Linked DNA regions of Bombyx mori. The protein of the gene in region 1 binds, or shares a complex with, the protein of each later gene. Links are inferred from orthologs where the notes say so. Each region holds a gene or a part of one and is shown on either strand. Other genes may lie near its edges.

Evidence for each region.
Region 2: eukaryotic translation initiation factor 3 subunit J (region 1) and eukaryotic translation initiation factor 3 subunit A share a complex: the UniProt entries of both Drosophila melanogaster proteins name them as parts of the eukaryotic translation initiation factor 3 (eIF-3) complex. The link is inferred for Bombyx mori from reciprocal best matches to the Drosophila melanogaster genes eIF3j and eIF3a.
Region 3: eukaryotic translation initiation factor 3 subunit J (region 1) and eukaryotic translation initiation factor 3 subunit E share a complex: the UniProt entries of both Drosophila melanogaster proteins name them as parts of the eukaryotic translation initiation factor 3 (eIF-3) complex. The link is inferred for Bombyx mori from reciprocal best matches to the Drosophila melanogaster genes eIF3j and eIF3e.

Annotation. Positions count from the first base shown.
Region 1 is NC_085125.1:12,534,347-12,545,834, forward strand, and holds the start of eukaryotic translation initiation factor 3 subunit J, read left to right. Parts: upstream 1-4,576; 5' UTR 4,577-4,675; coding exon 4,676-4,691; intron 4,692-4,769; coding exon 4,770-4,855; intron 4,856-4,980; coding exon 4,981-5,094; intron 5,095-7,108; coding exon 7,109-7,250; intron 7,251-10,954; coding exon 10,955-11,119; intron 11,120-11,488. Other genes in the region: uncharacterized protein LOC101743774, read right to left, coding at 1-41, 697-768, 1,444-1,547, 2,450-2,540. UniProt on the Drosophila melanogaster protein: Component of the eukaryotic translation initiation factor 3 (eIF-3) complex, which is involved in protein synthesis of a specialized repertoire of mRNAs and, together with other initiation factors, stimulates binding of mRNA and methionyl-tRNAi to the 40S ribosome.
Region 2 is NC_085122.1:3,672,964-3,683,730, reverse strand, and holds the start of eukaryotic translation initiation factor 3 subunit A, read left to right. Parts: upstream 1-1,298; 5' UTR 1,299-1,490; coding exon 1,491-1,539; intron 1,540-2,030; coding exon 2,031-2,259; intron 2,260-3,638; coding exon 3,639-3,813; intron 3,814-3,943; coding exon 3,944-4,132; intron 4,133-4,899; coding exon 4,900-5,004; intron 5,005-5,270; coding exon 5,271-5,479; intron 5,480-5,964; coding exon 5,965-6,131; intron 6,132-6,897; coding exon 6,898-7,035; intron 7,036-8,376; coding exon 8,377-8,581; intron 8,582-9,387; coding exon 9,388-9,487; intron 9,488-10,000; coding exon 10,001-10,230; intron 10,231-10,767. UniProt on the Drosophila melanogaster protein: RNA-binding component of the eukaryotic translation initiation factor 3 (eIF-3) complex, which is involved in protein synthesis of a specialized repertoire of mRNAs and, together with other initiation factors, stimulates binding of mRNA and methionyl-tRNAi to the 40S ribosome.
Region 3 is NC_085111.1:12,360,976-12,372,341, reverse strand, and holds the start of eukaryotic translation initiation factor 3 subunit E, read left to right. Parts: upstream 1-6,210; 5' UTR 6,211-6,271; coding exon 6,272-6,367; intron 6,368-6,451; coding exon 6,452-6,568; intron 6,569-7,012; coding exon 7,013-7,180; intron 7,181-8,464; coding exon 8,465-8,587; intron 8,588-9,383; exon of another isoform or gene 9,384-9,522; coding exon of another isoform or gene 9,523-9,709; intron 9,710-10,616; coding exon of another isoform or gene 10,617-11,366. Other genes in the region: putative nuclease HARBI1, read left to right, coding at 2,060-2,335, 2,427-3,155; uncharacterized protein LOC119628513, read right to left, coding at 4,117-4,202, 4,534-4,765, 4,848-4,928; zinc finger protein 280B, read right to left, coding at 9,523-9,709, 10,617-11,366. UniProt on the Drosophila melanogaster protein: Component of the eukaryotic translation initiation factor 3 (eIF-3) complex, which is involved in protein synthesis of a specialized repertoire of mRNAs and, together with other initiation factors, stimulates binding of mRNA and methionyl-tRNAi to the 40S ribosome.

The DNA.
Region 1 (11,488 bases):
ATGCTGTCCACCCCACGAAATATGTTTGTAACTTTTTGTTTCTAAACGAACATTAACACATCGATTAGACGTTTTATAAGGACTAGAGGTCCCGCAGTAGTCGAAATTCGACTATAATTAATTGGAATTGTAAGTTTGTACACTATTATGATTGTATTTTATACTTTTATATTCACAAATTTCGCCAAGACTACACTGTAAAAAATATTAACAAAGACAAACAATATTTCATCTATTCTCAATTTGACAACAGGCGTCAAGAACAAAAGTTTGACAATCACTTGACAATAAATAGTATGCATGCGTGTAATGTTTTCTTTATTGATTTAAAGTATATTTTACGCATTATTTAGAAAAAAAATTAACATTGTGCACTTCTTCTCTATATTCTCTATAAGTGTGGAAAATTTCATCCTCCTCCGTCTGCGCAACTTTCGTAAAAAGGGACACAAAGTTTTTGCTTCCCGTATTAATATATAGATTGCAAATATGTACACAACATGACAAAAATCGGTACTGTCAAAATACAGTATAGATACAATTCCATTTAAATTAAAACAGAAGAAACAAATGTCTCGTAGTGACGATTAAATGAAAAAAAACTTATTCAAATTTTAAGTCAGAAAAGGACAATAGTCCGATCCCCCCTTTGTTGTTCAACGTTTTGTTCTTTTCGTTAATGAAAAAAGAACTTACAAAAATAAACAAGTACACTGGTTCGCTTTGATCGCGGAATCTCCGTAATGAATCCACTTCATCCGACGGCACCTACAAATCAAAAACCTATAATTTTCAAATAATATATATATAATATATAAATAATATAATTTTAAAAAAATAGAAACGTAGACATGCTTAAAAAATTTTTTGTTGCGCTTGAAATAAAACTTCGTAAAGATCACAAAAATTGTTAGCAATAATAACACGGAGCGTTACCGCGCTTTACCGGTGGTAGGATCTCTTGTGAGTCCGCACGGGTAGGTACCACCACCCTGCTGCCTATTTCTGCCGTAAAGCAATAATGCGTTTCGGTTTGAAGGGTGGGGCAGCCGTTGAACTATACTGAGACCTTAGAACCTATATCTCAATGTGGGTGGCGCATTTACGTTGTAGATGTCTATGGACTCCAGTAACCACTTAACACCAGATGGGCTGTGACCTCGTCCACCCATCTAAGCTTTAAAAAAAAATGTAGTATTTATAATTTCATACAACAGAAAAGAAGTTTCCGAAGTCTAAAGCAGGAAGTAGCCTTTGCCTTAACCTTAATATTATCGTAATTCGTGTATCAACAATCTATTACTAGCTTCACGGTATGAAATAGGCACGATATTGTAAACGTAAATCAAAGAAAATGAAGTGAGCGAAACAAAAAAAATCAATTGACTTCAGCTTAATGAGAAAAGAATACGTTATAAATTTTAAACACCTATAAAAATTTACCTTCAGCAGAATAATTTTTCCATTGCTCCAATCGTACTTGATGATCGTGAAAAGTCTATCGAGTGCAGTACAAGCGCCTACGAATTGGCTATACACTTCGGCACCTAATATAAAGAAATCAATATAATTTACGAATTTGCATATTCAGTGGCAGCAAGTTCTGAGCATAAATCGTTTGCTACCACTGCCTTGTCTATACCAGTTGTAAAACGCTCTTGAATCCGATCCATAAGGTATTTATTTCACTAAAATATGGAGTGTTTTTCCACTAAAATAGAGACAGTATATGCTGGAAAACCGGTCATCATTCTCGTCGAACCCGTCGCTTGGGACGAAAGGCTCGACGAGTAAATTAACCCACAGACACAGCCCACTGAGTTTCTCGCCGGATCTTCTCAGTGGGTCGCGTTTCCGATCCGGTGGTAGATTCTGCGAAGCACGACTCTTGCTAGGGTTCGTGTTAGCAACGTGGTCAGATTTGAGCCCCGCGAGCTCACCTGCTAGTTAAAGTTACGCTGAAATAACCTCTCAAGACTATCAGCTTGAAAAAAAAAAGTTGGAAAAAGTCACACAAGTGAAAGAGTTTTTTGACACCGACTAAGCCGTGAGCGACACGTCCATAAAAATTCTTGGTAAAATTTTAAGCTCGACAAACACTAAAATAATGTTGCAAAAATATGAGTACTCATTTAAGTTCCAATATTCTGCTGGAATACTTATTTAAATAATTATACCAACATATTCATCATGTCGCCACAGCAATCGCCACCGGAGAACACTTAGGTTACCTTGATGATCACAACGCTGGGGCACAATGCGTTTTCCACGAAACATTTTTGTCAGGTCATATCAAACTACGAAATGAATTAGCTCCTAGATTTTGCGAGAATTCTGTGTATGACATGTACTTTTTCAAAGGAGACCTGAGAAAAACTCCCTTCGCAACTACGACAACTACTGAATCAAATCAACGAATAACTTTTCATCCTATATTTTTGTGACTAACAGATAAGGGCTTCTGAATGCGTCCTTAATATGTTTTTAAATTCCTTTTCGTTTTTTATTTCGATAAACAAGTCGATCTTCCGTTTCGCCATTTTCACTATCAATTGAAGAATTTAAACTGCTTGGTCATGCTTTGAACTATTTTAGCTACACCTGTTTTTACTTCAAAAACTTTTTATTTTTATTTTTTTTTTATTACTTAGGTGAGTGGACGAGCTCACAACCTACCTGGTGTTAAGTAGTTACTGAAGCCCATAGACATCTAGAACGTAAATGCGCAACCCACCTTGAGATATAAGTTCTAAGGTCTCGTATAGTTACAACGGCTGCCCCGCCCTTCAAACCGAAATGCATTACTGCTTCACGGCAGAAATAGGCAGGGTGGTGATACCTACCCGTGCGTGGACTCACAGGAGGTCTTACCACCAGTATCAAACTTCAAAAACTATTGTGGGATATTAGGTATAGACAATTTTAATCGTCTTTTTTACCGATTTACTGGAAACGACCGACAAATATTTACAAAGATTGTAGGTATTTAAGGAGTTACAAAGTCAATAATGATAAAATGTTACAGAAAATGGCATAGTTCGGATTTAAATAGTTAAAGTCGTAAAATGGTAAACGTAATTATCAAAATTGTGGTGGGGTCTTCTTTGCCCAATATTTATTTTAAAAAACTAGCTAACTTATCTCACAAATTGTAATTCGCTCCAACACAACTGTGCCATCTATTAGTCGACACAGGCTTCATTTTCAAGCATTATAGAGAAAAAAACACAAAAATTACAAAACTGTCAATAGATGTCGCATTTAGATGATTATTAACCGTCAATTATTTCGCTTTGTAGTTTTGGCGTTAAGCAGCGGTAGGCAGCGACTTGGCTCTGCCCCTGGCATTGTTGAAGCCCATGGGCGACGGTAACCACTCACCATCAGGTGGGCCGTATGCTCGTCTGCCTACAAGGGCAATAAAAAAAAAGCAGTAGGCAACAATCAAACTGGTATACATAATTTAATATATACTATCTAAACGGAAACATAATATGAATCAGGGCCCATGGGCAATACTTCTTGTGGCAGCACCGTTGAAAGACGACCGCCCCATTTAAACAAGCGCAGCGATCCTTCATAACCACTCTCGATGCTTTTAGGCATCACAAGCATCGGTCAACTTATTCGTTGAACCCGTTCAAGCGATGAAGGGCTCGGCGAGTAAATTAACTCACAGACACAGCGCACTGAGTTTCTCGCCGGAATTTCTCAGTGGGTTGCGATTCCGATCTGGTGTAGATTCAGCCAAGCAGTGTCCTGGTTAAGGCTAATGTTTGCAAATTATTCAGGCTGACCACCATGAGCTCGTTCTACACGTAGCCATAAGTAGGTCAAAAAAAAGGACGAGTACGACATCAAACACGCAACAACCAATACCTCAATTCCGTCCACCCCAGTGCTACACCGCTCAGCGTTGAGTGCATCTCAACATGCTCTAACACCATCACACACAAATGTATGTACTGTCTGGTGTTTTTAAATGCGTACAAAAATATTTCTGTCAATACAACACATCAGAGAAAACTATAATAGACTCAAATCTATTTTTTGTGATGTAGGGATAGCTGGCGGTCCCAAGGTCTTTCTAGTTTCAATAGCTAAAACGGCTAAATGAGTACGAAATAGTCTTGGGAGCTTCAAAATACACAACGAGAACACTCTTTTTAATTAGGAAAATACATTATTTTACTCTTAAATTAAAATACAAAACAATTTTTTTAAACTTGTAATATTTTTCTATTCGTTTCATTTCACCATTTATACTGATAGCTGACAAGATTTTTCATAAAATGATCCTGTATAGGCTAAGACCCTTTCGCCTGTTTCGTGAGATAAATAAAATATAACACTGTCGGCCATATTGAAAATTTTAGTAAATCGGGAATTATCGTCTGCAATGGATTCTTACTTTTCTAAATCAATTTGTGAACATACGTCTGTTGGGGCTTCGCCAATATTATGTCATTTGTTCATTGTTTTTCAATCCGACCGTGATAATTGCAGAAAATCGTCTTCAGTTTGACGAATTACACTCGAGTTTTGTTGTTGTCTAGAAAACGACGACTCTGGAGACATCTTGTGAGTGATAAGTCACTGTCGATAGTTGTCCGATTTTGGTGTTCAGGTGAAAAGTTTTCATATTAATTCAGCTGCTGATTCTGGAGTCCTAAAAATGGACGTGTCATGGGGTACGTACTGTTTAATACAATAACAAAATAGATTTTATAAATATCTACATTCGTAATGTCAATCGTGGTACATTCCAGACGCAGATAACTTCGAGCCCAAACTCCCGACCACGTTGGCAGCTTCCAACAAATGGGAAGGGGAAGACGAGGATGATAACGTAAAGGTAATCATTGGTGTGCCAAGTAGTTTGTATACAGTGTTCTAACTTCTAAATGTATTACGAATCTTCTCAAAACAGTACATAACCTAAATGACTGCCTACGTGTTGACGTCAGACTTTATTCGCAGGAAAGCTGGGAGGATGAGGAGGAGGAAAAGAAAGACGAAGAAAAGACTGAGGCAGCGCCACCTCCACAACCGAAACCTAAAAAGAAAATACACGATAAAATAGCCGAAAGAGAGGTATAGTGCTTTTAAAACATATGTTTAATGATTTAGAGATTTTATAGTCTAAACTCTACTAGAATAGCTTCTAGTTTATAGAATAGATAATTATAATTATATGGTAACATAAATTACTACCCATTTAGTGGTATTTTAACACATGAACTTAATAGTTTTGTTACACATAAACTTGGTAATGTTGAGCATTGTTGAAGCCAATTGCATCCTCTATTAACCAAAAGTTGTCTAAAAATAATTTTAAAACATTTAATTGCATTGTATACATACCAAAAATAGAAATAAGATTTGAAGGAAAAATAATATATGTAGTCTATTGTAAAATTTAAGACTTAATATATAGACACTGATATTTATTGCCTGCTTCGCCATGATCATCCATCTAGTGGAATAGATAAAATATGCACTCCATTTGAAATCAGTTTAAATGTTCTTTTTTTTATAATACCAATCACTGGCAAATTATCTTAATTATCATCTTCTTCTTTGTTCTTTCTCTCTCTGCTGGGGTGTAGGGCTCGAATCATATTCTTTCGTTTGCAGTCAATGGTATTTTTTTAATTAATAGTGAAGAAAAAACTGATAAATAAAAAAAACTAAATCTGTTGACAAACAGAAGAGAAAATTTTATTTAGCTTTTTATTGTACCCATCTATGTATAAATTAGATTCACATAATCATTAGATACCTATCGAGTTTAACATTAGCCAGTGTTTGTCTAAAATTTGTTTTGCAAAAGTCATTGACGCTTATTTATATAAAATTCGTGGAGATAACTTATTATATTATGAAATTACAGTAACTGTATGTACTGCTCTGATGCAAATTTCAACTATAAATATTTACACAAAAAATAATTAAAAAGGACAAGTTAAATACAAATAATTTATAATAAATATCAAGGTTCCAGTATGCATAAAGAAGGTTAACAAGATAGATTACTCATGGATTATCATCACCTTGCAATTAATATTAAATTCATTTGACAGCATAAAATATCAGAATAATAATTAAAATATATTAAGAACCCATTAATTATTAATATTTAAAAAACAACAGAAAAGAAATCTGGTGCTAGTGAGGGTGTTCCTGTTAGGTAACATAAAAAGTGGAATTTAAAAATAACATTTTGCTAGCAATTGTTCACTCAGTAATGATAGCTGACGATCCCACTCAGTCATCATATATCATCTTCCTTGACATATTGTGTGTCAACATCTGGTTATGACTGATTATGTGCTCAAATATGGTTAGGGAAGCCACATTTTGTCTTGAAGGGTCTGTTGCAGGGTGCACAATACAACAGCCCATCAGCATTCTACATAAAGTATAGGAGGAAGGCCAAATTTTGTATACACTTTTTTTTTTCAAATCTTGAGACAGCTTTGTGAGCATATCTGTATCATTCTGGACTCCGTTGTGTGCGATATTAGACACAGTTGGATGACATTCTAAAACATCCCCTGTAACATTAGCATTGCCCTCCAGGTGCTCACTGTTCATAATTCAGCTGTTAGTAAAAGACAAATCTAGGAAACTTAGAGTCATCCACACTTGTTGGAAGTGCTTCAATACTATTTACCTTCATCCTCAATATCTCAGTTTGAGACTTGATCTTGCCGCTTTATGCAAAGTATGGATGTTACACACTTTATGTTGATGGTGTTGCTTGATATCACCTCTGTAGTCCTGGTGGCATAAAGCGTATTGCTTTATTACCTTATATACAGCGATCATTGTGTGCAGACAAAGGTCATGTGAGGCCCTGACTCTTTTGCACAGCATTCAACACCCTTTGCAATTCATGAGGAATTTGTATTAAAATTTTGTATAGGGTATGACAATATTAAGTTAAAGGTTAACTTACATCATGTTTGGGATAATAACCAAATCTAAAATACGATAATTCACCAGAAAAATGAACATAGTTTCATAACTTCATAGAATTGACAGGCTATAGTTGCTCTTGAATTGATATAATATCCATAATATTTAAATTATAAAATTTTACTAGCGACAAGAACGTGAGAAGGCTGAACGTCTCGTGACAGAGAAGACTGCAGAAGAAATGACTCCAGAGCAGAAGTTGGCTGAGAAACTTCGCCAGCAGAAGCTACAGGAAGAATCAGATTTGCGACTAGCCATGGAAACCTTTGGTATGCTTGATTGATTTGGTGTGCTCGTATTACAGTTTGTGGATTCCAAAATAAGATTCATTTTAAGCAATAATTAGTAGACATTCTAAAAGAGGGTTTATAATCCCTAATATAATGAAGTTGTTGTGGCCTAATGGATAAGATGTCCGGTGCATTCGTGTTGAGCGATGTACCGATGTTCGAATCTCAGGCGGGTACCAATTTTTCTAATGAAATACGTACTCAGCAAATGTTCACGACTGATTTCCACAGTGAAGGAATAACATTGTGTAATAAAAATGAAACCCGCAAAATTATAATTTGCGTAATTACTGGTGGTAGGACCTCTTGTGAGTCCGCGCGGGTAGGTACCACCACCCTGCCTATTTCTGCCGTGAAGCAGTAATGCGTTTCGGTTTGAAGGGTGGGGCAGCCGTTGTAACTATACATGATACCTTAGAACTTATATCTCAAGGTGGGTGGCGCATTTACGTTGTGGATGTCTATGGGCTCCAGTAACTACTTAACACCAGGTAGGCTGTGAGCTCGTCCACACACCTAGCAATAAAAAAAAAATTTAAAAAATTGTGGTGAAGTGGATTATTGTGAGCCCTCATAAGTAGGTATTACCACCCTGCTTTTATCTGTTGTGCAGCAGCCATTATGCTTTTATGAGATATCAGGCTTCATGGCTGCATGTTAAATCATTGGCATCATGCATTGAACGTTTAAGATTTTAATGACATATCTAGTTTTCAATATCTCCATAAGAGAATGATATTTCTTCTAATTATGATCCTTAAATTAATTTATTTTGTCATATGATCTTTTTAGAGAGTTAATACTTACGTAAAGTGTTAATTGTATGTGAAAGTGTATTTAAAATGGGTGAAGTATGACTTTTCTTGAGTAGATGGGTGAACTAAATCTAAATGATTACAGGAGCCTACAAACATAGTCACATAAATGCCACCACCCACCTTGAAACATAAAGTCTTCATTGAATTGTGTAATAGCTGTTCAAATCAAAAGGCATGACTGCTTCACGACAGAATTAGGCAGGATTGTGGTATCTACCTGTGTGGGTTTATGTTGTGCCTTTCTTTCATTAAATGTCAGTTGACAATCATAGTATGCTGATTTTATACAGAGAATACTTCTACCCATTCTCTGGTGAAATCCTTAGTTGCCTTTCACAACATGCAGAGGAAAATAAGAAATATAAATACACTGCTTTTTTATGTTTACTGGTTGTGGTGTAACAATAGCATTTATTATTGCATAAATTTGAGCAATAATAATTATTCCTCCAATAATTAATACATTATAATAACAATATAGAAAAAAGTCTACGTAGCGCACAAAACACCCAAAAACACACTACTAAACCTAGTGTAATATCAGCCTATACTAGGAAACTCATGGAGCGGAGACAGCAACTACATGTAACCAAACCAAAAACAAGAGCATTGAAAAATGAACTAAAAGCTTTATATAAACTCATAAGTAAGAACATAAGGAGAGACTACATGCTCCATCGATCAAAAACATTTGAAAAACATATACTACTGGGAGCATTAAAAAGGCGTACAAGGAGCTAATTACCTACAAGCCTTGGATTAAACAACTAAAAGAGTCAGATAAACTATCACATAATAGGACTGATATTATGAAAACCGCAACCAATTTCTACAAAAAACTGTATGATTGTCAAGTCCAAAACTTTACAAATATATCTGTCAGCACCAGCATACAAGTACCAGCGGAAGACGTCTCACAGATAAAAAAGATAGATGATTTAGAAGTTATAGAAGAAATAAAAAAACTTAAAGCTGAAAAATGTCCAGGGCCCGATGGAATCACTAACGAGGCAATAAAAATAGGCTCTAAATATCTTGCACATCCTCTGACACAGCTCTTTAACTCTATATTAGATTCAGGCACCACACCTTTTCAATGGTCAGAGTCGAACATGATTCTACTCTACAAAAAGGGTGATCCCACTGATATAGGCAATTATCGTCCTATCAGTCTGCTACCCACACTCTACAAACTTTTTTCATCAATAATCGAAAAGAGGATTAGTAAGAGAATAGAGGAACACCAACCAATAGAGCAAGCTGGTTTCAGACGTGGATATTCTACAATAGACCATATCCACGCAATTGAACAAATTGTCGAAAAATATAATGAATATCAGAAAACACTCTATGTTGTGTTTATCGATTATCGGAAAGCCTTCGACACAATCCGACACTCTTCTATATGGACCGCCCTAATCTCACAACGCGTTGAACACAAATATATAGAAATAATAAAGTGTTTGTATAACAACTGCACAAGTAGAGTCAAACTTGAGACGACAGGACCACCGATACCCATAAGGCGAGGTGTGAGGCAAGGCGACCCACTATCTCCGAAAATTTTCATAGCGGTACTGGAGATGGTCTTCAGCAAACTAAATTGGGAAAGAAAAGGGCTGAATATTAACGGCAATTTCATCAACCATCTAAGATTTGCGGACGATATTATTCTATTATCTGAAAGTGCTAAAGAGATGGAATCAATGATACACTCGCTAAAAACTATGAGCTATGAAGTGGGTTTGGAAATGAATTTAGATAAAACAAAAATTATGTCGAACAGTATAAAACATCCCATATATCTCGACGAAAAACCATTAGAATACGTAGATAGCTACATATACTTAGGCAAACAAATTTCCTTTGGAAAACAAAACAATGAATTAGAGGTTGAACGAAGGATTTCAGGCGCATGGAAAAAATTCTGGAGTCTAAAAGACATACTAAAGGGAACGATGCCTATTAACTTAAAAAAGAAACTAATGGACACGTGCCTGCTCCCCTCTATTACCTACGGCTGCCAAACGTGGAAATATACGCTACGCGTAAAGAACAAAATCAGGTCTTGTCAACGAAGTATGGAGAGAAGCATTACGAATGTGAGAAAAATACAAAAAATCCCACATAATGTCATACGGGAAAAGACTAAAGTTATAGATGCACTAGATTTCTCACAAAAGTTAAAGTGGCGCTGGGCAGGCCATGTAGCCAGGATGAGCGACGACCGCTGGACCTGTAGACTCACGCTATGGCGGGGGCCTGCAGGTATTAGAAGGAAAGGAAGACCGGTAACGCGTTGGGACAACGATATAATAAAAATCGCTGGTAAAAACTGGAAGACAATTGCCAAAAATAAAGACAAATGGAAAAGTCTGGAGGAGGCCTTCACCCTCACATAAGAGGGGTTCTTGCATGCCTGCATGCTAAATTAATATAACCTTTTTTACATATTTTATGTTGATCCGACTAATATTATACACAATTTATTAAGAATTCTATCATAATTAATATCGATTATTATTAATGTATTATCAACAATTTTTTTATAATTTTTGTAATGTAACTTTTTTTTAAATGCAAGAAATAAAAGGCTTTTTATTTTATTTTATTTTATTATTTATTAATAACAATAAGGCTTTTGAGTAAAATAATAAACATTCATATTCTCATACAATAATCGTATTTTATTGTGTTCAAAACTACTAGCAAATGTAATGATTGATTGTCCAAAATATATATTAAGATTACTTGGCACAATTTCTTGGCAAGTCTTAAAACTGCCTCAAGTCATATGAGACAATGTTTTTATTATAATATGTCTAGTTATCAGATTAGATAACTTACCCATGAAAATGATTACAGGTGTAACAGAAGGTAACATTGGTAAACTTGACAATTTCCACCCAACTACAAAAGAAGAGTACACAGAGTTTGCTGATCTCCTTACAAAGAAGATCACTTTCTATAAAGCCAAGGATGAATTTCCAGGATTCATTGATGACCTAGTCAAGAATATTTTAGTCCAGAGTAAGTAAAATTCATTGTTTATGACTTCATTGATTGTGTTTGTAATTCAAATTGCTGATTTTTGCTGTGAAACAGTAATGCATTCAGTTTGAAGTGTAGTGTAGCCGTTGTACTGCACAATTTAGACTTTCGACATAATGTCTCAAGGAGTATGGCAGCATTCACATTGTGATGTCACAGTAACTGCTTGTCACCAGGTGGGCCGTGAGCTCATTCACCTAATAATAAATAAACATATAGTTCATGCTTAATATGGGGCTTGGTTCTGCTTAATACGTAATCATCATCGTGAAGTAAATATCTTCTCATTGTCAGTGGTGGTCACCAATGTAGAATATGACATTTATAAATGAAATCTTTCATTTCTAG
Region 2 (10,767 bases), on another chromosome or scaffold:
ACCTCCCCGCCTATTTCTGCCGTGAAGCAGTAATGCGTTTCAGTTTGAAGGGTGGGGCAGCCGTTGTAACTATACTTGAGACCTTAGAACATATCTCAAGGCGGGTGGCGAATTTACGTTGTAGATGTCTATGGGCTCCAGTAACCACTTAACACCAGGGGGGCTGTGAGCTCATCCACACATGCAATATAATAAAAAAAAAATACCAACTGCACTAGTCGAACTCGTCGAAGAGCTCGAGGCGAAACTTAAAGCAGTAATGCGTTTCGGTTTGAAGGGTGGGGCAGCCGTTGTAACTTTATTGCGACCTTAGAACTTGAATCTCAACGTGGGTGACGCAATTAGGTTGTAGATCTCTATGGGCTCCAGTAACCACTTAACACCAGGTGGGCTGGAGCTCGTTCACCCATCTAAGCAATAAAAAAATAAAAAAACTCGTCTTTAATAATTATTCTAGTTTCTTCTATATTTTGTTTAAGTAATTTAGCAACAACTAATTAAAATTCAAAAAGAACGATAAAGGACATTATTTATTAATCAAACCTAATAAAAAAAAACTTACCTGCTACTACTACATGAAAAAATCGTCTGTAGATCTGAAGATTTTAGGTGTTACTTGAAATTATAAATCGATACATAATAGGTAAATCATATCGATATCATTAAATAACCAAATATTATATCTACCAAATATGATTTTCAAACACAACGAAACATTTATCTGAGTTTATTTTATCTGTTCAGTATAAAATATTATGGAAACTACTTTTTTAGGAGGGATGGATTTCTGGTGGCATTAAGGCATTTCTGTCCGAGCGTTACCAAGGTCCTTATGCCTGCTCCTAGTGCTAAAGCGTAGGCGTCTATTTACATAATTAATGGACAGGATGCATCCATAAGGACGTCTCAAAGGCGTCGACGGTAACTGGCTCCTGCATGAATCTAAGTGAGCGGCGGCACGATGAAGCAATTTTCATGATTCATCTAACAGGAACTAAAGTTCTCTATGGAGCATGACTTTAAGGTAATATTGTATGGTTGATTTCTTAAATATGTGCCTGTTATAATTTTTAATTGTGTTTACAATAGATTAAATTAATTGAGCATAAAATTATGAATTTTTTATATTTACTTTCTATCCGAAACAGAAAACAAAACAAATGCATATTAAATTTTTAATTTAACCAAAATTCATTGGTTGATCTGAATTAAAATCCAAACTTTCTTTGCCAAAAATCTATTCTACAATGAATTTGAATTTGATTTCAGATTCCTACCCTATTCCTGACAGCTAATCTGTATCCTGTTACTTGGCTTAAGGGTCTTTGTTTCCAAGCCAGTAAAATTTATAAAAAAAAATGTATCCTGTTCCACCATTTTGTTTTACATGTCGCGTGTGAGGCCGGTGCTGGAGGAATTCGGTTTTCTCTCCTAAACCGACATAAAATCGACGAAATTGTGTTAATGAAGTAGAAAGTGATATAAAGAAAATGGCGCGATACGGTCAAAGACCGGAAAATGCCCTTAAACGGGCCAATGGTTAGTATTATGTTTGATCATCCACGTTGCGTTTCTATGATTAGCAAAAAAAACATTTCGATGGATTCACCACCTATGGTTATCACAAGAGAAACATCTATTGATATCAAATAATGCTATAAAAAATATTTTTCTAAAGTAAAAAGTTTTTAAATTTCATTTAATAAATAAACATAACCAAAAACATTTAAGAGTCGTCGTGTCAAGCTTATCTTTACGTAATTGACGAAACAATAATTAGTTAATATAAACCTAAAATCCAAATCCAATATAACGTTCAATCTTAGAGTAGATCATGATTATAATTATCTCCTATGCTGAAATTACGAAAACAATCCATATGTTTTGATGATCTCACTCATATGATCCAAATTTCAGTATACACCGCCGTTCTTTCCATATCGTTTCCTGTGCAAAATATTGTAAAAAATTTAGATCAATTGTTATTGACAAAATTAAGACACATTTCAATGTAACAATGCTATTTTCAGAGTTCATGGATTTGGACAAACCAGCAAGGGCCCTAGACACCTTACAGGAAGTTTTCCGTAACAAAAAATGGGCCTACAACTGGTCCGAATCTGTCCTAGAACCAATCATGTTCAAATACTTGGAACTTTGCGTTGATCTACGTAAATCTCATGTTGCAAAGGAAGGTCTGTTCCAGTACAGAAACATGTTCCAATCAGTTAACGTTGGGTCTTTGGAGCAGGTTATAAGGTAATTATTAAAATCAGTCTTGTCTACCTATTGCAAGGTATACCATGGTTCCCAAAAACTCTCAGACACAGCCCACTGAGTTTCTCGCCGGATCTTCTCAGTGGGTCGCGTTTCCGATCCGGTGGTAGATTCTGCGAAGCACGACTCTTGCTAGGGTTCGTGTTAGCAACATCGTCAGGTTTGAGCCCCGTGAGCTCACCTACTAAAGTTAGGGTTACGCTGAAATAGCCGCTAGGGCTATCAGCTTAGGTAGGAAAAAAAAAAAAAAAAGAAAAAAAAAGGGTTCCCAAACATTTCACTGCAGTGCAATGCAGATGCCTATCTTCAAACATAAAATTGAAGCCTAAAGCATTAAGCTTACTGAAACTTACCAAAAATGCTGTTAATAATTAATACTTAGATACAGTTGAATGAGATGCAAAAATTGGTGCACACTTGTTCAATCACGTAATGATCATTGGTTTACATAAAACTGGGTATTGGAATATGAATTGAATATCCCTAGCAAAAAAAATATATGAAAGTTGTTAATTAAATATAAGCAATCCACTATTTTAAACTTTGTGATAAACAAAAATTGAAAAGTAAAAAAAAAATGATACCATTTATGTCTAACACATAACTAGACTAACACTAATAACAAATAAATTTTAACAGATCTGCATTGATTTATAAAGTTCATTCAATCACTTTTTTGTCAAATATGCTCAACTTTTGTTTTCTTTTTGTTAATACTTTGTGGCCCAAGACCCACCTGGTGTTAAGTAATCACTGAAGCTGATGCACATCAACAAAGCAAATGCTGAAACCCACTATGACTTCTAATTCTCAGGCTCAGAAGCTGCCATACCATGAGTATATGTTTCAATGGCTGATGTCTGCCTAGATTACCACAATCTCATCTTGTCCTGTACTGTTTACAACAGTAAAACACGACTGGGGCTTTTGAGAGAACTGGCAGCAGTGTTCATGTCGTACAAGAATACAAGAATTAACTGTTATTTGTGTATAAAATTAACTCATAGAAGTGGTTCCTCTTCACTATCGTGTACATTGCGGTTGCAAAGTAATAATGTTTAACTGTTTAAAGGATTGAACAGTTGTTATACATTAAAAATGAGATTTTGATGATTCATCACAAGGTAGATAGGATGAAATGTGACCCTGTTCGTAAATTGATTCAATAAAAATAAAATTGATTCTTGTAATCTTAGGGCATGAGGTGGACAGAAAGCAACATTGACTTTGTGGTATCTATGAACTCTAAAACCGCTTGTTACTGTAAGCTAATAAATCCAAATATAGCAAAACTAATTACTTTACACTCACAATTTCTAACTATAATAAAGAAATGTGCCTGTAACTGTAACATTTCACAGAGGCTATCTCCGTATGGCAGAGGAACGCACAGAAACAGCCAGGGCTTTATCGACGCAGGCCGTCATAGACACTGATGATCTGGATAACCTTGCAACCCCGGAGAGCATACTCCTGAGTGCAGTGTCAGGTGAAGATGCCCAGGACCGATCTGACAGAACAATACTCACACCATGGGTGAGCTATCATCACCAGAAATTCTACTATAACAATGCATTTGGAATTTATCAACTTATGGAGTTTGCATTTAGTTATTAAAATTATTTATAAATTTAAATATAATAATGAAACCAATTTTTTAACACAGGTGAAATTCCTTTGGGAATCCTACTGCCAATGCCTGGAGCTCCTTCGTACGAATGCTCATGTGGAAACCTTGTATCATGATATTGCTCGCATGGCCTTCCAATTTTGTTTAAAGTACTCGCGAAAAACAGAATTCAGAAAGCTTTGTGATAAACTAAGGAAACATCTTGAAGATATTTGCAAACCTACAGTAAGTGTAATAAAACTCAATTTTTCTATTTATCAACTGATGGTAGGGCATAGGTGTCAGATTGTATAAGTAGGTACCACATAGATTGTCTGTAATGAAGCAGTTATAATACATACAATAAATACAATTGAGATTATATCATTTGTGACATCCATTTCCTTTCATAAAAAAGGGCAACTAGTGATTTGATCCCAAATTGATTAAGATGCTCTGAACAAGATGTAAAGATACATTCTTATCACATGCTACACTGTGATTAGAGACCTTTATTGGATAACACTGTACTGGGACAATTGAAAACATGAATAGATGAAGGGGTTAAGTACAATTTTAAAGATTTTTGAGTTTCTATATTGAATGAAGGTGTTATGTGCCGATATATTAGCCCTTAAAACTCCAGGTTTAAAGGCTATTTTTAGAAATTGCATGTGATGAAGAAGCTATATATGAAGCAAAAGTATAAGTAACAAAAAGTCTGTTGCTCGTTTTCTCAAAATTAACAAATTGTATTATATCCCCTTCGTCCACTCATGTCTTCAATTATGTATCATATACCAGACAATTAATCTACTGGTGCTGGGTTGTTTTATGGGCTAGCAGGGGTCTACCATTACCTGTTTCTGTCACAGAGCAGTTATGTATTCTGGTGTAAAGAGTGACATACTATACAATTGTTGTAATTCTAAATGGCTGGTTTATGTTTGTAGTATTTCTATAAACAAAATGTATTTATTCTGTTCTGAAATATAGTCTGTATTATTTTGTAGGTGCAAACTGGTAACGTTAGCATTTCAAAACCAGAAACTCAACAGCTGAACCTCGAAACAAGATTGTTCCAGCTCGACTGTGCAATTCAAATGGAGTTATGGCAGGTTTGTTAAAAAAATTATATTTCATCTTTATTTTGTAATACGTATTTAAATAAATTTAATTATTTTTTATGTGCACTAAAATCTTTCAATAAATAAGTAATCAATAAAGTAATAGAATATATACAAAAAAGGGACTATTTGAATATGAACAATGAATTTCATTACAATAATAAAATAATTTAAAATTGCATTAATACAAACACGGCCAATACCTTTGGAAGTTAAATTGAAATTTCTTTTAGAAACATGTTTTATTTTTTTAACAGGAAGCCTATAAAGCCATTGAAGACATCCACAACCTAATGAACATGTCTAAAAAAACTCCAGTCGCCAAAACTATGGCCAACTACTATGGGAAACTGGCACTTGTTTTCTGGAAAGCTGGCCACTGCCTATTCCATGCTGCAGCCTTGCTGAAACTCTTCCAGCTATACAGGGAGATGAAGAAGAACATCACCCAAGAGGAACTGCAGAAGTAAGAATACTGTTCAATAATCATCATACTATATACTTATATACTGGCAATGAGCAAGTGGCTAACCTTTAACATCTGCTTCCCGCTGACTAATTATGGATTCAATTCATATAAAAAAAAATTATTACTTAGATGGGTGGACGAGCTCACAGCCCACCTGGTGCTAAGTGGTTACTGGAGCCCATAGACATCTACAACGTAAATGCGCCACCCACCTTGAGATATAAGTTCTAAGGTCTCAGTATAGATAACAGCTGTCCCACCCTTCAAACCGAAACGCATTACTGCTTCACGGCAGAAATAGGCAGGGCGGTGGTATCTACCTGTGCAAACTCAAGAAATCCTACCACCAGTACAAATATATGTATAGACACAAAAAACCATGTTATTTGATCAGTTAAGCCTGCAAACACTCACATGGACTACTTATAGCTGTATTACAAGTGCTACGCAAAAAAAATAGTAAAAAAAAAGTTACTTTGTAGGATGGCGTGTCAAGTACTGGTAGCGGTGCTGTCTGTGCCACTGCCATCTCTACACCCTGAGCTCGATCGCTTTGTCGAGACGGATAAGAGCCCTGTTGAGAAGGCCCAACGTTTGGCTGTACTGCTCGGTCTTGCTCAACCACCGACCAGGGCAAGTCTTTTGAAAGGTATCTATTTTAAAAGAACTAGTACTAATTATTTGAATATAATAATGACTTTAAATTATCTAGTAAGAAGGAAAAGGAATTTCTCAACATGTATTACAATATTTTATGAAAATTACACTAGTAATTACTTACTGGCCTTTGAGTTTGGTAACTCATTCTGCTTTGTGTAATACCTTTGCAACTGGAGCTCTAGCATAAAAATATTTATTTATTAGTCCATATTTTTGTAATTATTCAAAACTAGAAATAAATGCAGATTTGGAAATATAAATTTTGCTATGTCTGTATGTTTCACTACAGCCTATTAATTATTTAATTTTGAATACTCAGCACTTCCTGGCGATTAACACATTCATATAAATTTAATAAAATACTAGTTAATAACCAAGCCTTGCTCGATATTTTTTTTGATAAATTGTGTTTTTTAGAAATTATATTTAAATACGAATTACATATTGATAAAATGATGAAATATAAATCATATTTTTCGATCTCACCGACAGAATAATAATAAAATATGAACTGGTTATTTAAAGAAAAAATCAAAATTATCGAAAACACAAAAAAACAACAAATTCAAATTCTGAAAATAAATCGTATCTAGATCGATTTATCGCCCCTGAAATCCCCTGTATACAAAATTTTATGGAAATCGTTGGAGTCCTTTCTGATTTTCAGATTATATATAAATTTATATACAAGAATTGCTCGATTAAATATATAAGATGCAAATGTAACTAAAGTATAAAATTATGTTTATTCTTAGATATCGTCCGCCTTAACGTCGTGTCGCTGGCATCGCCTCAACTTCAACAGCTTTATTCTTGGCTTGAAGTGGAATTCGACCCTCTGACCATCTGCCTTAATGTCAAGGGTGTTATCAAATCTTTGCAGGATGAGCCAAGTGAGTACATTGTTTAACCCACACTGATAACTCATTACATTACGCTTAGCTTACTGTCCAACTGACATTAGACTAAAGGCTGGGTAGATGTTAGAAACAGACAATCTTATCTACCTACCTTCTTTTTAATCCGTTTTACTATACACACAGTATTCACTGTTTTTGTTGAACACTGAAGATGCATTATTTTTTACTAAACCTAATAGTGAAATGTGCTATGTGGTTAGTCCTGAACTAAGACCATACATACATATATACAGGTGTATTAAAGTACCTTACCTCTATTAAAGGAAAAATATTAAATATTAAATGATTGGTGAAACAGGTCTTGTTATTAAAAGTATAAGCAATAAAAAATAAAATAAAAGTATAAGAACAAGCAAATAAAATGTGTGTGCGATAAAAACTTTTTATTTTCTATAGCTACATAAATCAAAATTGGACACCTTTAAATAACATTTGGATTTTTTTATAACAAAGACAAGCTTAATATTAATTTTATGTAAACTGTGTGTACTCAAAAAGTGGAAGTCACATTTGAAACTATTCACTTCATTGGAAAAGTTAATGGAGACTTCTTCAAACAAAATATAGATAAATTAGTAATCAAAGATTTTAGGATTATTGTGCCTCTGAAATAAATCCCATTTGTAACCCTTAATGGTTATGCGATGGTAGGCCTCAGAGGTAGATCATATTGTAAGCTTGACGCGACAGAATATACGACACATGTATAGCCTGTGTTAATGTATGCTTGCACATGTTATAATTTACGAGTGAGACGTCGTAACAGCCATAACCCATAGTTTGTAACTATTGCTAATTGTAGATTTGACCCATCTTTTGAAACAACTATACATTCTCTAAAGTGCCAAAAGTTGTTGGTTTCAATGTTCAACTCGACAATATCCTTCGTGAATATACATTCATTTACAAATTAAAAATATTTCTGTGCAAAAGCACAATATTAATAATAATCCCTAATGAAAATCCATCTGTTGGAGCATATCCCATGACGTGAATAAAGATGAAATTAAATTCAATTTAAATGTAAATCAAATATTAAAGACTTATTACAAATGGTTATCATGTGTAATATAATATTTCATTAAAATGTTTTGTTTCTGTTCTCATAAAAACATTTTAATTATGATTCACACAAACAAATATATAATTATGGATATGTATAATACTCTAAAGGCTAGGGATACACATTAAAAATAGCCAGAGTCTTATTAATGTGACCCACTTTAACTCGAGTAATAAATACCTGACTGTATACCAAATAACCGAATCATTGTGTACCTATACAATTATTTTATTTGAATATTGATTTAACAGATTCATCGCTCGCTCAGTACACCAATGCCTTGACGGACGTGGCCCTGGTGAGGCTGATCCGTCAGGTGGCCCAGTGCTACGCGTGCGTGCAGTTCTCCCGGCTGCTGGAGCTGGCGGCCACCGACGACCTGTTCCATCTGGAGCGCTTGCTCGTCGACTGCGTGCGCCACAACGACATGCAGATACGCATCGATCACGCCAACAAGTACGTTGCGAACTTCGTATAAAACTAAAGCATAGACACAGTTTTTTATTGTTATTGCATAGATGGGTGGACGATCTCACAGTCTACCTGGTGTTAAGTGGTTACTGGAGCCCACAGACATCTACAACATAAATGCCGCCACCCACCTTGAGATATGAGTTCTAAGGTCTCAGTATAGTTACAACAGCTGCCCTATCTTTAAAACAATGGTGGTAACTATCCGTGCGAACTCAGAAGAGGTCCTACCACCAATAATTACGCAAATTTTGCTGTGACTATTACTAAAACTGTGCTATTCATCATTCATCTAATTTATTGCCCATAAATTAAGAATAATTTTGAAATTTTATCAGTATCCCTAAACATAGACAACCTTTTTTTTTTCAAATAAATTTAAGTAATTTTTATTTATTGTAACGAAAGCTATTATAATAAATTTACGATACGTCTATCTCGCGTACCATAAGTAGATATGAAAGAGCTTTTCTGTCAGCTTTCATTATAGTAATAACTACTTCCATTTCATTTTTCACTTAAACTTAGATAAATAAGTGGTACCTATTTAAAAGAGTTTGGAAAAACCTCCCCATTTTAATTCAATGTTTTTGCCACGTTTCATCCAAATCTAATCCAGATCCACAATTCTCTCTGAGTGCTATAACATCTCATTTGCTAAAGGGACTTTTTTATTATTTATTAGAGCCATACACCCCTATTAGGTTGTCGGCTAAAGGGGACTCAAAATGTACTGTTGGCAGGGTAATTGTTCAGTTTAATTCTTAATTACTATTTCTGTTTACAATCAGGTGCGTGCACTTTGGCGTAGAAGCGGGCGGCGGCGAGTGGTGCTCGGCCGCGGACGAAGCCTGCGGCGGGGCCATCCTGCAAGCCACCCCGGCGGAACAGGTACGCGCATTATGAATAATGGACTTGTAGTGTTATAACATTTACAATTGAACTTATTTCGATGGGCTGTGACATGGTGTACCTATTAGTTTGGACGAGTTAAATGACGTACTGATGATATAGTTTTTACTAAGATTTTAAGACTTTAAAACATACATTAACTATGTTATTAATCATCTGATGTGGTTTATTCAAATCAGTATAATATTTCTATGAATCCTATTTTACTATTTTAGTTATGTATGACTACTAAAATGGTAAATTTAATATTTCAAATGTGATAAAATATTTTAAATTTTTTAATATATTTAGTGTTTTCCACAAGAACGATTCTCAACAATCATGAAAAAGCCTTGTAAAATTATCTTTTTACCAAATAAAATTTTTTCTCCCAATTATTTTCCCTACTATACATTTCGATGATAAAATACATTAAAACAAATAGATACGAATTCTCCAATATATGCACGCGTACTTAAAAAATTAAAAATCCCTTGACGTGTCTATAATCAGGTCCGCGAGCAGCTGGTCCGCGCGGCGGAGGTGCTGTCCCGCGTGGTGGGCGCGCTGTACCCGCAGCGGCGCGGCGCCGAGCGGGAGCGCGCCCGCGCCGCCATGGTGCAGTACTACCACGAGAACAAGCAGGCCGAGCACCACCGCGTGCTGCAGCGCCACAAGATCATCGAAGAACGGAAGGAGTACATCGAGCGACTCAACACCGTGCGCGAGGAGGAGGAACTCAGGTAAACATTATAATTTTTTTGCTTAGATGGGTGGACGAGCTCACAGCCCACCTGGTGTTAAGTGGTTACTGGAGCCCATAGACATCTACAACGTAAACGCGCCACCCACTTTGAGATATAAGTTTTAAGGTCTCAATATAGTTACAAAGGCTTCAAACCAAAACGCAATACTGCTTCAAGACAGAAATAGGCTGGGTTGTGGTACCTACCCGCACACACTCACTACAATCTGTCCTACAACCAGACCACGTCCGTACTAGGACAGAGCGACTACACAGCCCTAATTCACTATACACTAGTATGATACTAAAGGACTGCCTCCTGCTTAAATCTGTTATGTATATTCAATTCTTAAGAAGTCATTGTAATTTTTGTGCCTCTGAAATAAATCCCATTTGTAACCCTAAATGGTTATATGATGGTAGGCCTCAGAGGTAGATCGTATTGTAGCTAGACGCGACAGAATATACGACACGTGTATAGCCTGTGTTAATGTATGCTTGCACATTTTTTTTCATTTGATGTATCGGCTTTCAA
Region 3 (11,366 bases), on another chromosome or scaffold:
CAGCTTAGGTAGGAAAAAAAATGAAAAACATTGCGGCTCATACAGCTTTTGTTGTATCTAAAACTTGTACTTGTACACATTAAACTTATAACTAGGAGGAGTAGGACATTTTTTTCCTACCTATGCTGATAGCCTTCAGCGGCTATATCAGCTTCGCCTTGACATGTAGATGAGCTCACGGGGCACAAACCGGAGTGTTGCTAACACTGGCCCTAGCAAGAGCAGTGCTTCGCAGAAACTACCACCGGATCGGAAACGCGACCCACCAAGAAAATCCAGCGAGAAAATCAATGGGCTGTGCCTATTTGTTAATTTATTTGTCGAGCCCTTGGTCGCAAGAGATGGCGAGGACGGTGACCGGTGACAGGTGACCGTTTGAGGTAGGTACCTAAAACGCACCGTTAATGGATCGGGAGGATCCGTAATGACGTGCTTAGGGCGACGTCGCATCGACTGTTTACAGGATCGGGTATGGTGGGACACTACGGAGCACACTGTGTATGGAAGTGTCCGTCAAAAAGCGATCAATTTGTGTGGCGTCACCGTAGCGAGTAGTGTAAATCAAAGATAGTGCCAACAGTTACTAGAGTAGGAGAGTGAATAAAAAAAAGAAGGAAAACTGCTTTATTCTGGTGCATTTTTCAACACAAAATAAACTTAACCATAGCATGGAATTTAATAACTTTTTTTTTTCAAACGCCTGATCATTTTATATTAGTAAATCGGAAATTGGAACAATGGCAATGTTCAAATACTACACACACACACACACACACTCACACTTTTTTATTGCTTTGATGGGTGGACGAGATCACGGCCCACCTGGTGTTAAGTGGTTGGGTACGGAGCCCATAGACAACTACAAGGTAAATGCCATCGCCCACCTCGAGACATCAGTTCTTAGTCCTCAGTTTTTACCACGTTTTTACAGTGCAACGGTTGCCCCACCCTTCAAACCGAAACACATTACTGCTTCACGGCCGAAATAGGCAGGGTGGTATCTACCCATGCGGACTAACAAGACGTCCTACCACCAGTAATTACTCAAATTATAATTTTGTGGGTTTGATTTTTATTAGACGAATTTATTCCTTTACCGTGGAGGTCAATCGTGAACAATTGTCAAGTACATATTTAATTACAAAAAATGTTATCTGCCTGCGGGATTGGTAGACCTGTGCATCGCTTGATACGATTGCACCAGACGTCTTATCCTTTAGGACACGATGACTTCAAAACTAAATTTCATTTCTTTTGTGTCTTTATTAGACATAAGGCCAGACGGCCATATTAAAATAAGGAAGAAATGTCTTCGCATGTTACACCGTCACTCACATTCGCACGAATACGCAAACCCGCAAGTGTAGGACGACATTTGCAAATGATTATGCAAAGTTTTCGCTGCATTCGTGGTTTTCCAAGCTGTGTCGGTTTTTTAACAGACATCAAAGCGCGCGAACCGCTATCCTTTGCGTAGTCTCCCACACATTCATGTGACCAGTTGCGCCCAGGATTGCGAAGGCAACGGACGTTTCGCTATTTTCATAGATCGTGACGTCTACTGTTTAGCGTATCTTCATCAAAAGAAATGCCATAAAAACAGCATGGCTATTAATGATGTCTGGGAAAGAATTCAAAACTCTTTATCTCTTCAATGTTTTATTGACGAATTAAAAAGGAGGAGAAATTCGTGAGACATTCGTAAACAAGTATAGGAGGAAGCGCAAACGGGTTCGCAAATTGCGTACCGAACCCATTTTCACAGCCGCTAAGTTTACGAATGAATGTTTGACGGCCCTTCAAACAAAACATTCGTACAATGTACGAATATTTGCGCGCATGTGAGTGGCCGGAATTACAACCATGTTACAACACTACGTATCCCGTTGCTAAAGTTATTTTTTAAGGGATTGTATGACCTGGTAACTAATGCCCGTATCTTTAGACGTTTCGTAAAATAGTCCTCCACTCTTAACTCATCCGAACTGTCAGCGAACTGTCAAGTCAAGGTACGTCGCGACGTACCTTGAACGTTCCTCAAAACAGCGTTTATTACAAGATGACTTCTGAGAGCAGTTTTGAAGAATTTATTAACTATATTTTTGATAGCAGAGTGTATAATTATCCGTCGCGAAGGTATTTGAGAGATGCAGATAACCCGTTGGAAGTTTACGATGACGACGAATTCCGAAAACGTTACCGGCTTACCAAAGATTCGGTTGTGCATATTTTGCTGCCTTTGTTGACTAACAACATTAATGAAAACGATCGTGGACTACCTTTAACGCCGATATTACAAGTGCTAATTGCTTTGAGATTTTACGCAAATTTTCAGGTTCGTGCATAATGTGCTTTTGTGTCTACATAATAGAATATTTATAATTTATAACTTTCATTTGGTTTCATGTGGTATGGTTATTTTTCAGATTGTTTGTGGCGACTTGCACAAAATTTCTCAATCCGTAGTATCAAAAACGGTAGCAAACATTTCTAAGAGATTGGCTTTGAAATCCAGGCAATTTATTAAATTCCCTGCATTAAATGAAAGGGTTGAAACTAAAAGAAAATTCTACCGAATTGCAGGGTTTCCAGGTGTAATTGGATGTATTGATTGCACACACATTCCAATAAAAAATCCATCCAGAGCAAGGGGAGAAATCTTTCGTAATAGAAAAGGCTGGTTTTCTATCAATGTCCAAATAATATGTGGACCGCAAATGGAAATATACGACATTGTTGTGCGATGGCCTGGATCTGTGCATGATTCGCGCATATTTAACAACAGCAGATTGAGATTTGAAGAAGGCGATTTAGATGGCATTCTTGTCGGAGACAGTGGTTATGCGCAGACTGGCTTTATGTACACTCCTGTACTCAATCCTCAAACAGACCCAGAACACAGATACAATCGAGCATGTGTAAATGGTGTATTAAAGAGACGCTTTGCTTGTTTGTGTAGAAAATTACAATACAGTACACCAAATACATGTAATATTATAGTCTCTTGTGCTGCCCTACACAACATTTGTTTAATGACCAATGAACCTGAGCTGAACCCTGAAATTGAGCTAGAAAATGTCCCAGTACCTAATACTCAGGACTCTTCTAGAGGGAGTATTATAAGATCGGCTTTTATTTCTAGGCATTTCAGTTAAAAATTCTCATATGGGTATCATCAACCTACAGCAGTCCACTGCTGGACATAGGCCTCTCCAATTGCTCGCCACTGAGCACAATCCTCGGCTTCCCTCATCCAGCTCTTGCCAGCCACCCTGCACAGATCATCACTCCACCACTTCACAGTTTCGACTCAAGAACATGTTTACCCTAACAGTTATCAGTTGTCCGGCTAATATGGGTATATAAGTTGGAACCGAGCAGTGAGCACCGTTATTGTAATGCAGATAGTATTATTTATTTTGAAGATGAATGATTAAATTGATTTTGTTAATTTTGATAAATTTTTTACTAAAAAAGTAAATAGTACGAGGTTAGACTTTTGAAACTCCTTATTTTATTTATCTACATAAGAGTCATATTTTGCTTACTATCTAATAAATAAAGTCAATGTGATTATGAGTTATTTATTTAAATTATTTTTCACTACAATCTCTTGTAGCCCGATTATATTTTTTAATATCTTCTGCAGCTTCCCTCTCAGCCTTTGCTTTTAGATATACTTCTTCTGCTGCCTTCATCATCCACTCTCTTTCCTTTTTTTGGAATTGAAAGAGTTCATCTTCTCTTCTCTCTTTCTTTTCATAAGATTCTTTTCTAAACTTAAATTCCTCCTGAATTACCCTGGTGCGCACATTCCCTCCTGTAATTAAATAAAATGCAATTGTTATACATCTATATTTGTAACATTTTAGTAATCTATATAATGTATATTTATGATTTTGAAGTGATGATAGCTTTAGTGGTAATTAAGGTATTAAGGGTGGTTTCAAATCCCACAATTGGATTGAGCTACTATAGTCGAATTATTAATTAGACTGAGTAAAATGTGATAGTCAATTCATCTGATTCAATACAATTAAGGTGAAGTTATAAAAAGATATTGATATATTTAGATTAGATTTACAAATTGCATTATTTGTGCTTTACCCTAACTAATTAATATAGATAGACACTCAGAACTTCATCATTCTGTTGTGGTTGCGCTACTGCTGGAACTGATGTTTCAAGCTCCATTGCAATATCTAGAAATAAAACAATAAAATCTTTAATTATGTATGGTAGAATAATAGTGATAGTTGGAGTAGAGGAAAGAATTTTAAAGTAATATTGTTCTTAATCAGAATGTGGTATATTCATTATGATTATTAAAATGGTTTCTTGAGTGAAAATCTTTATCAGGTATTGTCACGCATATTATTTATCTAGTTTTTAGCACAGTAATACATGTAGTTCGACTCATATAGATATATAACAATAATCAAAAGACCCTCCATGCCACCACGTTCTTACTGTTTTTTGTGAGAGAGCATGTGAGATTGAAGCACTTATCTCAAATTTTTAAGATTCACTTACCTTCAGAACTGTAAATGGTATCACTGTCAATGTCACCCCTGAGTTCCACATCAGTCTGATCCAGTAGAACCTCAGCAAAAATAAGGGTCTCATTGCTGCTACCAGGCTGTGGCTCATTTGGAACACACTGTCCGCCACCAGTCTTCATTCTCTGACGCTTTTCATTAGCTAAAAAGTGCTTCCTCCGTGTTTTTAAATTATCCCAGCACTTCTTGAGCTGGGCCTCACTTCGCTAAAACAAATGATAAATAAGAATAGCATGGTATATATAGACAAGTAAAAATCAGATACAAGTAATATAAATAAATATCTACCTTTGCATTTGATTCAATTGAATTGAATTCTTCTGTTAAATGTATCCACAAAAGTTTTTTTGTGTTTTGACTAGCTGTCATGGTAGCAGTTTTGTGCAGATTATATTTTAAAATTAATTCTTGTAGGCAAGGTCTTCTCGCTTTCGCTAAATACTTGCCTGGACGTCATCATAGAAAAACTGAAACGACAAATAATTTACTGCATCGTAATTTCACGTAAAATCTATAAAAAACTTTGCTTAGGCAGTGAGTAATAAAGGACAAAAATATTTAACTATTTGAGTTAACTTAAAGTTAACTATTTAATAAATAAAACACCACAATCATAACTTACCTGAATAATAAACCGGTGGTTGTGGAAAAGCACTTCAAAAAGACGATGCAATCAAATTCAACAAAGAAACAGCGAATAAAAATACAAAGCCGGGTTCCTGGAGGAGCTATTATTCAAAATCCGAAATCTAATTTATTAATCATGGGTTAGAAAAACGAAAACCTTCTATTTCACCGCACGCGCACGTATTTATGAGTCTCTCAACTAAAACATCAAACAAGTTCGATGCGTCTAGTGTCAAACAGACAGTGGTAGCTTGACTTTGACATTAAACAATGACCATAAGCTACAGAACTCTTATAGGTTTGATGCTAGCTTGATCAAATTTTCCTCAAACTGATGTTGTCGTGGTGACGCAATAGCACCTCTCTACCTTACTCGAGGACAGTTGAGGAATATTGTAATGGTCGACTAAAAATACCAAACTCGAGTAAGTTTGGGAGGAATATTCGAGCATCATCGGATGAGTTTAGAGTGGAGGACTATTTTACGAAACGTCTAAAGATACGGGCATAAGACTTTTATGTAATGTCTTATTTTAATTTACATTCTTATTTTTATGAAAAATGAATTGATGATTAATTTGAGACATTAATCAACTGGGATGAAATCAAATGAATTTATATGATATGGGATGAAATATAATCTCAGTAAAATGGTGGTGATTTACTGAGATTTTTTCAGTGGACTTTTTGGAGGATCCCGAGAAGTTACGTTCATTGGCTTTGTTTCATTTTCCCACATTTGTGCACTTTCACAGATACTAAACAGTTAATAAACCACCGTTACTATACATTTAAACCTGAAGAAACACTAAGTAGACAAAATAAAACAAATCACACAACTTCACTCCTCGCGTTCCCGCTAAAAAGTCCCTCAATAAACAAAATATCATACTACGCCATAGATAACATTTTAAATATTTGTCTACTATTGACTTTGGCTTACTCTGTACTCAGTATATTTACTGTGGACGTAGCCTAAAGTGCTTTCCTTTTACTACATACTATTTGTAGATTACAGGTTGTTGGTTTCTACCTACTACATGTGTTTCCATTTTCATAAGAATTCATGAAAATAAACTATCAACATGAGTTACTCAAAATTTGATTTAACGTTTAAAATAGGACAGTATCTTGATCGGCATCTCGTGTTTCCTTTACTAGAATTCTTAGCAGCAAAGGAGGTAGGTTATGTAGTCAAGTTTTACAAAGTGTTGTCCGTTTCATTCTAAAAAGCAACTGAAAGGCTTAAAACCAAATACTTTCAGACATATGACCAGTCAGAGCTCCTGCAGGCAAAGTTGGAGATTTTGAGCAAAACTAACATGATAGATTATGTTACTGACATCAGAAGAATGCTCTATCCTGAAGAAGACACTCCTGAAGTAAGAATTTATCTTTAACAAATATATTATTTGTCCTAAATTAACTTTATTTACGGAATGATGTTTAACACAAATTATTAGAGATGCTGACATCTGACTATGTATGTATATGTATATGTGTTTAAATACATAATTATGACAAGAATAATTGAATATGCAATTTCGAAAAGGGCACATCTCTGAAAATGTAAAATGTTCAGGAGATGAAAAAAAACTGATTATTTTCTAAAGCAGTGTAAAATTTAAAATATTAACTTTTGAGATACGTTTTAGTGTTAATTAGCAATTGAAAATTACTGGAATTATTATAAAATGGGTGTAGGTAAGCCTCAAAACTACATGTATATGAAAAAACGTATTTGACAAAATATGCGACATGTGACCTTTCCGAAATTGCATATACAATTAGTATAATGACTTAATTAAACCTAAAAGTGATTCTAGGAAATTATACAGCGGAGAGGTGTAGTTCTTTCGGAACTGCAGGAACTTCAAGATGCAGTAGAGCCAGTATTGAGACTCATGCAAAGAGATGATGTAATGAAAACAATTGAAACCATGAGGGATCCTAAAACTCTTATAAACCATCTTTCGACAAACAAGGAGTATGAGGTGAGTCTTTCATACAACGGAAACTAAATGAAAAGATAATTACTAAACTGCCATGCAGTACAGCAAAACAGTATTATTTATTCTATATGAAGAAAGAATAATAACTTAAAATGCTAATTAAATTAAATTGTTAACAATTTTACATACTCTAATAGAGACAGTCCTGAGAAGGGTATTCCCAAATATATATTTCTTTCTTTCTTTTTTATGCCCAATCACAAATTATCAAAACAAAAGAAAACATTATACAAAAGCCGAATAATATAACCGAAAGGCATAGAACACCTCATTCAATTGTTGTACGATTGTAACTTAAAAGTAAAAAGCTTTTCTGTATAAATATTTATCAAGATAATAGCAAGTGTGGGGCATTTATTTTTCCAACCCCTCAATAAGATCAAATTCATTATTCAGTGGAATCTTATTTAAAAGTAAAATACTAAGCACTATTTTGAGCAAATAGCAATTTATGACAAAAAATAGTTGTAAATTAGAAGAGTAATTTGACATGGATTTTGACAAAAATATTGTTATGCCAATGCCAGATTTTTCTTGATATTACTCAAGAATTATGTCATAGAATACTGCAGTATAATATTGAATTTTGCAATAGGGCAGTGTATCAAAATTTCATATTTCGTTCTTCAGAAGAAGACTTTTTTGTGCTAATACAACAAGCAGCTGAGAAAATTCTGCATAAATAATTATAATTTTAATTATTAATATCATATACATTAGATATATGTACACTTTAAAGGAAACATATATACATCCTCTACCTGCCTTAGCTTATGATGTCAGCTTACAGAATTTTATCTTCAGATCATAAATTTTAAGTGGAATATTACCTTGGTTAACTTAATAAATTTTAATGATATATCTTTTAAATACAGTAGTAGAATGTAGTAGAATTGTTATATATTTTTTATAAATCATTGTCTGCCTATTTCTGCCGTGAAGCAGTAATGCGTTTCGGTTTGAAGGGTGGGGCAGCCGTTGTAACTATACTTGAGACCTTAGAACTTATATCTCAAGGTGGGTGGCGCATTTACGTTGTGGATGTCTATGGGCTCCAGTAACCACTTAACACCAGGAGGGCTGTGAGCTCGTCCACCAAAAAAAGAAAAAAATAAGCCTAAAATTGTTTGGTCTTAGTAAACATATTTAGTATATAGTAGATATATGAAATATGTCTACCAGCAAGATATTCAATTTATAAATATAAATCCTTAAATAAAACTAAAAATAAAAGAATGGTTTGACTAATATCAATTTCTATTCCAGTTTAAAATTGAAATGATCGATAGCATGTATCGTTTGGCCAAATATCGCTATGAATGTGGAAATTATGTGGAGTCAGCATCATATCTTTACTTTTGTCAACTGGTGATGTCGCCAACTGACAAGGTAAGGAACAGTAAAAACATAATATGTCATATTGTATTTAATTATCAAATACCTATGTATTATGAAATGAAGCCATTGTTATGACATTTAAATAGACTTGTAAAATAAATTTGTCAAAATATGTATAGGCAGCAATGTATAAAAGCGACTTACTCTGTGTGTGGTATAGCACCAGCTTTTCCCCTAGAGTCACGCGAGATTCGCCAGAGAATGGGCAGCAGTACTCAGCATATTATTATAGTGTACTGATATAGCCTACGAGCATATACTGATAATAGGGGGTATTGGAAATCCTCATGCGTAGTTATCACCGTTTTGGCTACTTCTATCATGAACCTGTTATTAAGTTTTGAAGGTTGGGACAGCTATTCTACAATACAGTTGGGTACTGGTGGTAGGACCTCTTGTGAGTCCGCACGGGTAGGTACCACCACCCTGCCTATTTCTGCCGTGAAGCAGTAATGCGTTTCGGTTTGAAGGGTGGGGCAGCTGTTGTGACTATACTGAGACCTTAGAACTATATCTCAAGGTGTGTGGCGCATTTACGTTGTAGATGTCTATGGGCTCCAGTAACCACTTAACACCAGGTGGGCTGTGAGTTGGTCCACACATCTAAGCAATAAAAAAAAAAAAATTCAACTTCATGTATTAGATAGGTTAGGAATATATTATTATGTAGATATAATATGAACATTGTGATATCTATAGTATCCAGTATCAATAGAGCAGGTGGGCAATGAGATTGTGTACCCATCTATGAAAAAAAGATAAAATGTAACACTTTTAATTTTAAAGATTTATGAAGTTGTAAATTAATATATTTCAGTTCTTATTTCTTGTATTAATTAATAAGAATGTTAAATACTACATCTATTTGTAAGTAAAAAAAATACAATTTATTGCAAGTAACAACTAGCATTTAGGGAAATTGCATATTAATAAACTATAGCATCAAACTGTTGGTGAACTTGTGTTCTGTGGGCTTTTACTTCTGAAAGGGCGTTATACCAAAGACCACATAGCTCACATTGATGAGCTAAAATACTGATAGACGCTTTTATCATTGGCTCATCGGTTTTAATATCTTGAATGATTTTCAGCATGAAATGTTCAGCTTTATATCTGCAAATATTTTATTAATTTAATTACAGAGTTCCATCTTATTTCATGCACATAATCTTAGTGTGTGATGCTTACAAGCTTTAAGTAGTAAGTCTTCTGGTGGTAGGACCTCTTGTGAATCCGCACGAGTAGGTACCACCGCGCTACCTATTTCTGCCGTGAAGCAGTAATGCGTTTCGGTTTGAAGGGTGGGGCAGCCGTTGTAACTATACTGAGACCTTAGAACTTAGACATAACCACTTAACACCAGGTGGGGTGTGAGCTCGTCCACCCATCTAAGCAATAAAAAAAAGAAAAAAAAAGTAAATCTCCGTAAATCAAACTCAAACTAACGACAGAGTGTCCATTCTTGTTTATGATTCCTTACTAGAATAAGGCTGTAATTCACTCCTTAATAAAAACTTAAGCGCCTAAATAAAGCACAGGTTCGACCTCGCGTAGCCTACCACAACCCAACTTTGATCCGTATGTACTATTTTTCTTTGGCTTCATAAGAGGAGAGAGAAGCGTTCAGAGTGTTTGTTGACTTCTCTTCTTCGAATAGAGGTTGGTTCCCCCTGTGATCTATACCATACTTTATATGCAGCAGATGTCAGTCATCAGTACCATTTCTGAAGTAGAGTACACTCCTACTACCACTACCACTATGTAACTGCCACTACCACTGCGTTTCAAGAGCTTGCCTTGTAAATCCATTTCTAGAAAGAATTCGCTTCCGTGGTGTTTTTTGAAATTTTATATCCTCATCGTCGGATGAGTTTTGAAAAGAGCCCTTAGCAGTAGGCAAAGGTGTACGAGCGACAGTAAGCACTTACCATTGGACCATTACCATTGTATGATATCTGCCTTGAATGGAAATCGAATTGAAGGCACCTATAAGATAAGAAAAATGCGAAGAGAATTTCACCTGTGATTGTAGAGTTGATCGTAATTCTTGAATTTACGGTCGCAAATGTTGCACAACAAAAATTTAGGCAATTCAAAACTGTATATTTTCAACCACGGGCACACCAGCCAATGTTGCTCGTTAGTTTTATATGATTTAAATGTTAAACTACAAGTAGTGCATTCGTAATTGTTTACGACAGAGTGCAATTTGCTATGAGTCAAAAGTCTTGGAATACTTGTAAATACTTTTTCGCAAAACTCGCATTGTAATAGTGACGAGGTTTTAATTTCTCGAATGCCCTCAATATCTTTTGGATTACAACTATCACCAGGATGTTCAATTGCTTGATCTCGACGAGGCCATACTTGAAAACATTGAATGCAAGTCCAAACGATTTGCCAACGCTGTTGTGTCTTGCATTCTGTTGTTAAATGTTGGCAGTTAAAATGTTTTTTTATTCCTGCTTCATGGATATAATTTGACCCACGGTAGTAAGGATGTCTCAAAGATCTCGTGTATATTGTATCTAAAATCTCTTGACTTTTAGTCAAATCCAATGTTCTATTTAATATTTTAATATTTTCCATAATTCGGGCATTATTCTCATTCACTCTATCAAGACTGTACTGTAAGGGGTTGATGTAATCTTTGGGAACGTTATTGATATGTTTTTCAGTAAATTCATTACTATCATTTTGATGTATGATTCGATTGTTATTATTCAAGCGGCAATCAGTGTTAGTGTCTAAATATTCGTTCACTTTATCG